Saccharomyces cerevisiae S288C: one gene and its partner. The protein of the gene in region 1 interacts with the protein of each later gene in a biochemical or structural test. Each region holds a gene or a part of one and is shown in the gene's direction. Other genes may lie near its edges.

Region 1 (6,157 bases):
GGTTAGCGATGCTTTTCTTGTAGGATAACATCGTGAGATTGGCTTTGTCGACCAGCTCAGGAATACATTTAAGATAGTCATCCTTTGCTTTAGCCTGCTTCTTCAAGTGCTCCAGTGATTTGGTTGCTTGTAGCAGTTGCATTTTCAAGTTATTCACTTTGATTTCGGAATTTTTTCTCACGTTATTCAGTTCTCGCCTCACTTTGGCCAGCTCTTTTGAGCTTTCTGCATCAAACACCTTGCTGTCTAAACTTAGTTCTAGTCCTTCGTAGTATTTTTCATGGAACGTGTGAATCTCATCTAACTTGGTGTTCACCGTGTTCTGGACGTTTTTGTAGTCCTGTAACTTGGCGCAGATTTCCTTCTTGAGATTAACAAGCAAAGTGTATTCATCGTAGTTGCGTTCTTCTTTGCTAGAGGGAAGTCGAACAAGTTCGATTCTCTTTTCAGCAGAGCTCTTGTGCGTTTCCTTTAACGCGTTGTTCTCATCCAGGATACTTTTCATTTTTCCATGTAAACTAGCCATCTTAATTTCATAGCCTATGATCTCGCCGGACAATAACTTGGCGCTAGACACTAAAGCGGCTTCATTTTCTCGGTAATGATTCACTAAAGATTGAAGCTCCTTGACTTTGCTTTTCATCTGCCTTAAAGATGACTTCTTTTGTACTCTTGAGCTGCTGAGGCCCTTCGTCACAGCCGCATATTCCTTGTCCGAGTTGAAAGATGAGCTCGACTCCTGATCACTACCATCTATCACACTGCGAGTGATGGCATCCAAGACACCACGATTTTTTGGCATAAGCACTCAGTCTTGGCCTTTTTCCCTCCTTTCTCCACTGATCGAAGCTGTGTGCAAAAATCGTCCCCGGTGTTTATTTATTTGTCCTATGGATAGATATGTTACTCACGCGTCGCGTCGCTCCTAAAGACATGAAAAGCGCTTTTACATCTTTGCTAATACTAGCATCGCAGAAGATCTTCTCCATTGCTATGCAACATACCTGCCTTGGTAGTTGGTTTCATAATTTACAATATACAAAGTTATATGCCCTCCGAGTCAAGGAAAAGATTGTCTTCCAAAAAAGGTGCAACTGTGCGTTTAGAATTGGTGGAGAATTATGTGATATGCTTCTTCACCGTCCTCTGCTTCTGCCTAATACCACACTCATCAATTGACTGGAGATCTGGCCTATCTTGCTACTACTTCATAGATTTTTTTTTTTTTCATCTATCCCCTTCCATCCCCTTCTGGTTCTACCCCTTCAGCGTGAAAAATCACCATACACGATCAATCCGCCCGAGAACGAAAAGTGAAAAGAACAAACAAGTCGTGTCAGATCCATTCCTCTATTCCTGTAGTCGGGTTGCATTCTGAATTTACACGTCACGAACCAGCACTATTTCGCTACTGTAGGTGTAGAACATTAGGACAAGGCAAGCTTCTGCGATAGACACTTTACTCACACATATTTCCCTTTGTTCCCGTTTGCTCTCCCTAATTGAACAATAAAGATGGTCAAACTTGCTGAGTTTTCTCGAACAGCCACGTTTGCGTGGTCACATGATAAAATTCCATTATTGGTCTCTGGTACCGTATCTGGTACGGTGGATGCTAATTTCTCCACTGATTCATCTCTAGAATTGTGGTCATTGTTGGCTGCTGATTCGGAGAAGCCTATTGCTTCCTTGCAAGTGGATTCCAAATTCAATGATTTGGATTGGTCTCATAATAACAAGATTATTGCTGGTGCTCTGGATAACGGTAGTTTGGAATTGTACTCCACCAATGAAGCAAACAACGCTATCAACTCCATGGCCAGATTTAGCAACCATTCTTCCTCTGTGAAGACGGTAAAGTTTAACGCAAAGCAAGACAACGTTCTTGCTTCGGGTGGTAACAACGGTGAAATTTTTATTTGGGACATGAATAAATGCACTGAATCGCCCTCCAATTATACTCCATTGACACCGGGTCAATCGATGTCGTCCGTTGACGAGGTCATTTCCCTAGCATGGAACCAATCTTTGGCCCATGTTTTTGCATCTGCCGGGTCGTCTAATTTCGCATCTATTTGGGATTTGAAGGCTAAGAAGGAAGTCATTCATCTAAGTTACACTTCACCTAATTCAGGTATCAAGCAACAGCTGTCCGTTGTTGAATGGCACCCAAAAAACTCCACAAGAGTGGCAACGGCTACTGGTAGCGATAATGATCCATCTATCCTGATCTGGGATTTAAGAAACGCCAACACACCATTGCAGACTTTAAATCAAGGCCATCAAAAGGGTATTTTGTCATTAGATTGGTGTCATCAGGACGAACATCTATTATTGTCCAGTGGTAGAGATAATACCGTTCTTCTATGGAACCCTGAGTCAGCCGAACAACTGTCCCAATTCCCAGCTCGTGGAAACTGGTGTTTTAAGACCAAATTTGCACCAGAGGCTCCAGACCTATTTGCTTGTGCCTCCTTTGATAACAAAATTGAGGTACAGACTTTGCAAAATCTCACAAACACTTTGGATGAGCAAGAAACCGAAACTAAGCAGCAAGAATCTGAAACAGATTTTTGGAATAATGTTTCCCGAGAGGAATCAAAAGAGAAGCCAACTGTTTTCCATTTACAAGCCCCAACTTGGTATGGGGAACCATCTCCCGCAGCTCATTGGGCTTTCGGTGGTAAATTGGTTCAAATTACTCCAGATGGTAAAGGTGTATCTATAACAAACCCAAAAATTTCAGGCTTAGAATCAAACACTACTTTGAGTGAAGCGTTGAAAACTAAGGATTTCAAACCATTAATAAATCAAAGACTGGTCAAAGTTATTGATGACGTTAATGAAGAAGATTGGAATTTATTGGAAAAGTTATCAATGGACGGTACTGAGGAGTTCTTGAAAGAGGCTCTTGCATTCGACAACGATGAATCAGATGCACAAGACGATGCCAACAATGAGAAAGAAGACGATGGGGAAGAATTCTTTCAACAAATTGAAACCAATTTCCAACCCGAGGGCGATTTCTCCTTGTCTGGTAATATCGAACAAACTATTTCCAAGAACTTGGTTTCTGGCAACATTAAGAGCGCTGTGAAAAATTCTCTAGAGAATGACTTACTAATGGAGGCCATGGTGATCGCATTAGATTCAAATAACGAAAGATTAAAGGAAAGTGTCAAGAATGCCTATTTTGCGAAGTATGGATCTAAATCATCGCTCTCGAGGATACTATACTCCATTTCTAAGAGGGAAGTAGATGATTTGGTTGAAAATTTGGATGTCTCTCAGTGGAAGTTTATCTCTAAAGCAATTCAAAACTTATATCCAAATGATATCGCCCAGAGGAATGAAATGTTGATTAAATTGGGAGACAGGTTAAAGGAAAATGGTCATAGACAAGATTCTTTGACTTTGTACTTGGCTGCCGGATCATTAGATAAGGTGGCTTCAATTTGGTTATCAGAATTTCCAGATTTGGAGGATAAATTGAAGAAAGATAATAAGACAATTTATGAAGCTCATTCCGAATGTCTAACTGAGTTCATTGAAAGATTCACCGTATTTTCCAACTTCATTAATGGAAGCTCTACCATTAATAATGAGCAATTAATTGCCAAATTTTTGGAATTTATCAACTTAACTACTTCCACAGGAAATTTCGAACTAGCCACTGAATTCTTAAATAGTTTACCAAGTGACAATGAAGAGGTTAAAACAGAAAAGGCACGTGTCTTGATTGCTTCCGGCAAATCATTACCGGCACAAAATCCTGCGACAGCGACGACCAGCAAAGCCAAGTATACAAACGCCAAGACAAATAAGAACGTTCCTGTACTACCAACTCCTGGAATGCCTTCTACTACTTCTATTCCTAGTATGCAGGCACCATTTTATGGTATGACACCAGGCGCCTCTGCAAATGCTCTACCTCCAAAGCCGTACGTTCCAGCAACCACCACTAGTGCTCCTGTTCATACAGAAGGTAAATATGCGCCACCAAGCCAACCTTCGATGGCGTCACCTTTTGTTAACAAAACAAATAGCTCGACCAGATTGAATTCTTTTGCTCCTCCGCCTAACCCATATGCCACTGCAACAGTTCCTGCAACGAACGTATCTACAACGTCGATTCCGCAAAACACTTTTGCTCCTATACAACCTGGTATGCCTATTATGGGCGACTATAATGCTCAATCTAGCTCTATTCCTTCACAACCTCCAATTAATGCTGTATCGGGTCAAACGCCACATCTCAACCGTAAAGCCAATGATGGTTGGAATGATTTGCCTTTGAAGGTCAAAGAAAAACCATCTCGTGCCAAGGCTGTATCTGTTGCCCCTCCAAATATCCTATCGACACCAACTCCATTAAATGGTATCCCTGCAAATGCTGCTAGTACCATGCCTCCGCCACCTCTTTCCAGAGCTCCCTCTTCTGTGTCAATGGTATCACCACCTCCTCTACACAAAAATTCTAGAGTCCCATCCTTGGTTGCAACTTCTGAGTCACCAAGGGCATCCATATCAAATCCATACGCTCCTCCTCAATCATCACAACAATTCCCAATAGGTACTATTTCTACAGCAAACCAAACGTCAAACACCGCTCAGGTAGCTTCATCGAACCCCTATGCTCCACCACCACAACAAAGAGTAGCAACCCCATTATCTGGAGGCGTGCCTCCAGCTCCGTTGCCAAAGGCCTCTAATCCATATGCTCCAACTGCAACCACTCAACCCAACGGTTCCTCCTATCCTCCAACCGGTCCGTATACTAATAACCATACCATGACCTCTCCTCCTCCCGTTTTTAACAAACCTCCCACTGGCCCCCCTCCGATTAGCATGAAGAAGAGAAGCAACAAGTTAGCTAGTATAGAACAAAACCCATCTCAAGGTGCTACTTATCCTCCAACCCTTTCCAGCTCGGCCTCTCCATTGCAGCCTTCTCAACCGCCAACTTTGGCTTCTCAGGTTAATACCTCCGCTGAGAATGTCAGTCATGAAATTCCAGCTGATCAACAACCCATTGTCGACTTCTTGAAAGAAGAACTGGCTCGCGTAACACCATTGACCCCAAAGGAGTACTCCAAACAATTAAAGGATTGTGATAAACGATTAAAGATTCTTTTCTACCATTTGGAAAAGCAGGATTTATTAACCCAACCAACAATCGATTGTTTACATGACCTCGTCGCATTAATGAAGGAAAAGAAATACAAAGAAGCTATGGTCATCCATGCTAATATCGCTACAAACCATGCTCAAGAGGGTGGTAACTGGCTGACAGGAGTGAAGAGGTTGATTGGCATAGCTGAAGCGACTTTGAATTAATTCAGTCTCAAAACTTTCAGTACAAAAAGTGGCGTATTGGCCTTGTTTTTTTCTTATTATGTCTTATAGTATTATATTTATATATTTATGTACTTATCCTTTTATGTTTAAACCTAATCAAGATCACAATTAGAACTAGCTTAACATTACTTCTCAAAACCAACCAATACCTCTTATATCTTTTTTACAGCCTTTCCCTTATGTTTTTACCATGTACACCTCGAGCGGCAAATCTCCGGGGAAATTTTAAACTTGCCGCATCGCACATTCTAAAGAACAAAAGGAGGAGGAACTGTCAATTATTCTATAATCTGGGGAAATTCAGTCATACTGAGAAAAACTAGACAATAGTCCTATCCTCGGCAAATTGCATTGATAGTACTTACACATCGAGAGATCATAGGACAGATAAGAAGCATTTTATTGAAGAAAAACAGAGAGAGTCACTATAAGTTGACCTCACTATAGAAATTAAAACAGAAAAGTTTTACTGAGGACCTTTTTAAACAGAAGGATATGCCTTTGTTGGCATAGAAAGAAGAATTTATAAATGGATCCTAATAGTAACAGTTCTAGCGAAACATTACGCCAAGAGAAACAGGGTTTCCTAGACAAAGCTCTTCAGAGGGTGAAGGGCATAGCACTGCGACGAAACAATAGTAACAAAGATCATACAACAGATGATACGACAGGTAGCATACGAACCCCTACGAGCTTGCAGCGGCAAAATTCTGACAGGCAATCTAATATGACATCCGTGTTTACGGATGACATTTCTACCATAGACGACAACTCAATTTTATTTTCAGAGCCTCCTCAG
Region 2 (3,386 bases), on another chromosome or scaffold:
GAAGACGAAAACGAAGATACAGAAGACGAGCACGAAATTGAAGATATCCCGACCACGTCTGCTTTTGGCTTAAATTCTTCCGCTGAATACCTTGCATTCAGATTACGAGAATTTAATAAATTATGACCATGATAAATTCACCACATGTATCTATATATGTTCATGCATATACCATATATATTTTGTTATTCATACGATAGACCTCAATCGTTTTGTTGCCTTTCAAAACGCACAATTGTAAACCTAGCTTACTATTTATCTATCGCGGTCCAGAATGGCTTTCCTTTTTAAATTCATCCCAGAAGCCACGTCGGAGTAAAGTATTCGGCCTTGATGACTATTTCGAATCGAAATGAAAGAATAAAAGGAACTAGGAGGTTGTTCCAACAATTTTCCATGCCGTAATTTCATCGGTTATTAGGTTACCAGCATTTATCTCAGTTTATTTGAGTCAAGGTAATTTATTTTCATTCATTACTGTATGGAGTAAAAATGAATTCCATTTATGTATTCGCACGAAGAGAAATTTATCATCCGTCAGAGACACCAAATTACGGCCGAATTTAGATTTGTTTGCACGTAAATATGAGCCAATGAAAGCGTTATTATTCAATGTTTCCAAATTGTTTTCCACCGTTTTATTTTTCCCCAAGAATTCGCTTTTATGAATGTTTTTAATATATGCAATCATTTTATCAAATCCACCGATGATAAAGTTCCAGTGTTCACTCAACATTTTCATAGAATCGTCATGGCTTCTGGAATCGACTGTTAAAATAAAACAATATCTTCTTTCATTGCCTCTAGCATTTTCATCATACAGTTTAAAGCCTATAACTAAGTTCAATCCTCTAAGATCATCAAAAAATATAAAAGGCATATTATCATAAATCATTGTTTCTTCAGAAAAGGCTCTTTTAATAATAGAATTTAGCAATTGGTATCTTATAGAAGAATATTGGGTAGTTATAAACGGAACATCTTCGATGAAGCACCGCATCGATCTAGTTGACTCTTCAGGAAACTGTAAAAGACATGATTCGCAATATGATTCAGTTGGATAATCAGGCACTAGTAATTCTTCACCTAGCGTTCCCTTTTCTGCGGATTGTGTAACTGATATGATCCTTGGGCCATGCTTGTCGCAGAAATGAGCCAATGAAATCACTGTCGAGGACATTCTATGCATCTATTTCATCAACCATTTAAACGCTAACTTATTTTATGGAGGTGCTAGTTAGTTGGACTTTATTGCTTCATTTATCGTTTGATGGTCATCGAATAGAAGATTCCTAAGCCCTTTTCTTTTTACTCAAGATTTTCTTTTTCAAGCGTGTTTTTTCTGGCAAGTACGAAAACGGCATCTTCGAACTTGGCGAATGAACAATCGGTTTGGTTCAACATTTCCAAGAACAACTACAACATACTATCAGTGTTACTTTCAAAAGTCTTTTAATACATTTGAAATGATATTCAGTGGAAGTGGAATGAAATAGGCCACAGTGAATAGGCCACGATACACACAGCATGTGTCATGCTCAATACCTTGCACCTGAATCTATATAATCTTGTAGTTCACCATTATATACATAACTCAGAAGAAGAAAACAATACGCATATTGGATAGTGCTCCATCGCTTTTAACAACTGATAATTTCAGTCATCTGGCTCAGGGTCTTGTCGATTTTTTTTATTTAGAAACTATCCGAATAAAAAAACCGCAGGAATACAAAGCGATGGGAATTGCTATTTCACTGAACATGTATGTATACCGTATACCGCATAAAATAACTATAAACCTACACCATTAAACGATGTGTGCAAAGAAGCTCAAATACGCTGCTGGCGATGACTTTGTACGCTATGCTACACCTAAAGAGGCCATGGAGGAAACTAGACGTGAATTCGAGAAAGAGAAACAACGACAGCAACAAATAAAGGTTACTCAAGCACAAACTCCCAACACTAGAGTCCACTCAGCTCCAATTCCCTTACAAACTCAATATAACAAAAACAGAGCAGAAAACGGTCACCACTCCTATGGTTCTCCCCAAAGTTATTCTCCAAGACATACGAAAACACCTGTGGATCCTAGATATAATGTTATCGCACAGAAACCAGCAGGCAGGCCTATACCTCCAGCGCCAACCCATTATAACAACTTGAACACTTCCGCTCAACGGATAGCTTCCTCTCCTCCTCCCCTAATTCACAATCAAGCAGTGCCTGCACAACTCTTGAAGAAAGTTGCACCTGCTTCGTTCGATAGCAGAGAAGATGTACGAGACATGCAAGTGGCCACACAGCTATTTCATAACCATGATGTAAAGGGCAAAAACCGACTGACAGCTGAGGAACTACAGAACTTACTACAAAACGACGACAACTCCCATTTTTGTATATCATCAGTAGATGCGCTGATAAATTTATTTGGTGCTTCCAGGTTTGGCACTGTCAACCAGGCAGAATTCATCGCCCTATACAAAAGAGTGAAAAGTTGGAGAAAAGTTTATGTGGACAATGATATCAACGGATCGCTCACCATTTCTGTAAGCGAATTTCATAACTCACTTCAAGAACTAGGATATCTAATACCTTTTGAAGTTAGCGAGAAAACATTTGACCAATATGCTGAGTTTATAAACAGAAATGGAACAGGAAAAGAACTAAAGTTTGATAAATTCGTTGAGGCGTTAGTTTGGCTAATGAGATTAACAAAATTATTCAGGAAATTCGATACTAATCAAGAAGGCATTGCAACCATACAGTACAAAGATTTTATCGATGCTACATTATATTTAGGTCGTTTCCTACCTCATTGATGAAAACCATTCGTTCTTTCTGGTCGTAATACAAATAGAAGAGGTAAACCAATCAATGGCCCGTTAGTTTGCCATTTGCTGCATCCTTCCCATGCAAAGTGTCTTCGTATTTAGTGATGTTTTGTTAGCGACACAAAAGAGACCTCGATGACAGACATTTTTTTTTCTTTACTTAATGTATTATAAGTGTGTCTGACCTCGACTATCATTATAATATTAATTTGAAGTTCTATTTTACATTTATATGAGTTATTCCATTACATAATAAGGATATCAAGAGCAGATTAGTGTCTTTTAGATTATACATCTTTTTCCCCCCTTTTTTGTTGTTGGTAGTGGAAAGAAAAGGATCAATTAACAGAAATAAATAAATAAATAATAAAAACCTAAAATTCCTTTTGCGTCATTGAATTTTTATTATGAAGTCAAAAGGGAGTCGGTTGTCAACAGACTGTCCTGTCGAATTTCCCAAGATAGTCTCTGGATTCGCTGAGGAAGTGAAAATACGTAGACAAAGTTCCCAAGGACAGTACGCCGTCGATTCACATCCTCCGAAAAGCCCTG

The links.
Region 2: the proteins of SEC31 (region 1) and PEF1 form a complex in vitro, tested with the Saccharomyces cerevisiae proteins (one study listed by BioGRID).

What each region holds. Positions count from the first base shown.
Region 1 is NC_001136.10:105,693-111,849, forward strand, and holds SEC31 (Sec31p), read left to right. Parts: upstream 1-1,515; coding exon 1,516-5,337; downstream 5,338-6,157. Other genes in the region: ASF2 (Asf2p), read right to left, coding at 1-802; SNF3 (glucose sensor), read left to right, coding at 5,888-6,157. UniProt on the Saccharomyces cerevisiae protein: Component of the coat protein complex II (COPII) which promotes the formation of transport vesicles from the endoplasmic reticulum (ER).
Region 2 is NC_001139.9:604,322-607,707, forward strand, and holds PEF1 (Pef1p), read left to right. Parts: upstream 1-1,814; coding exon 1,815-2,822; downstream 2,823-3,386. Other genes in the region: RSC subunit protein RSC1, read left to right, coding at 1-126; LST7 (Lst7p), read right to left, coding at 452-1,180; septin SPR3, read left to right, coding at 3,242-3,386. UniProt on the Saccharomyces cerevisiae protein: Calcium-binding protein that is required for polar bud growth and cell wall abscission. Can also bind zinc ions.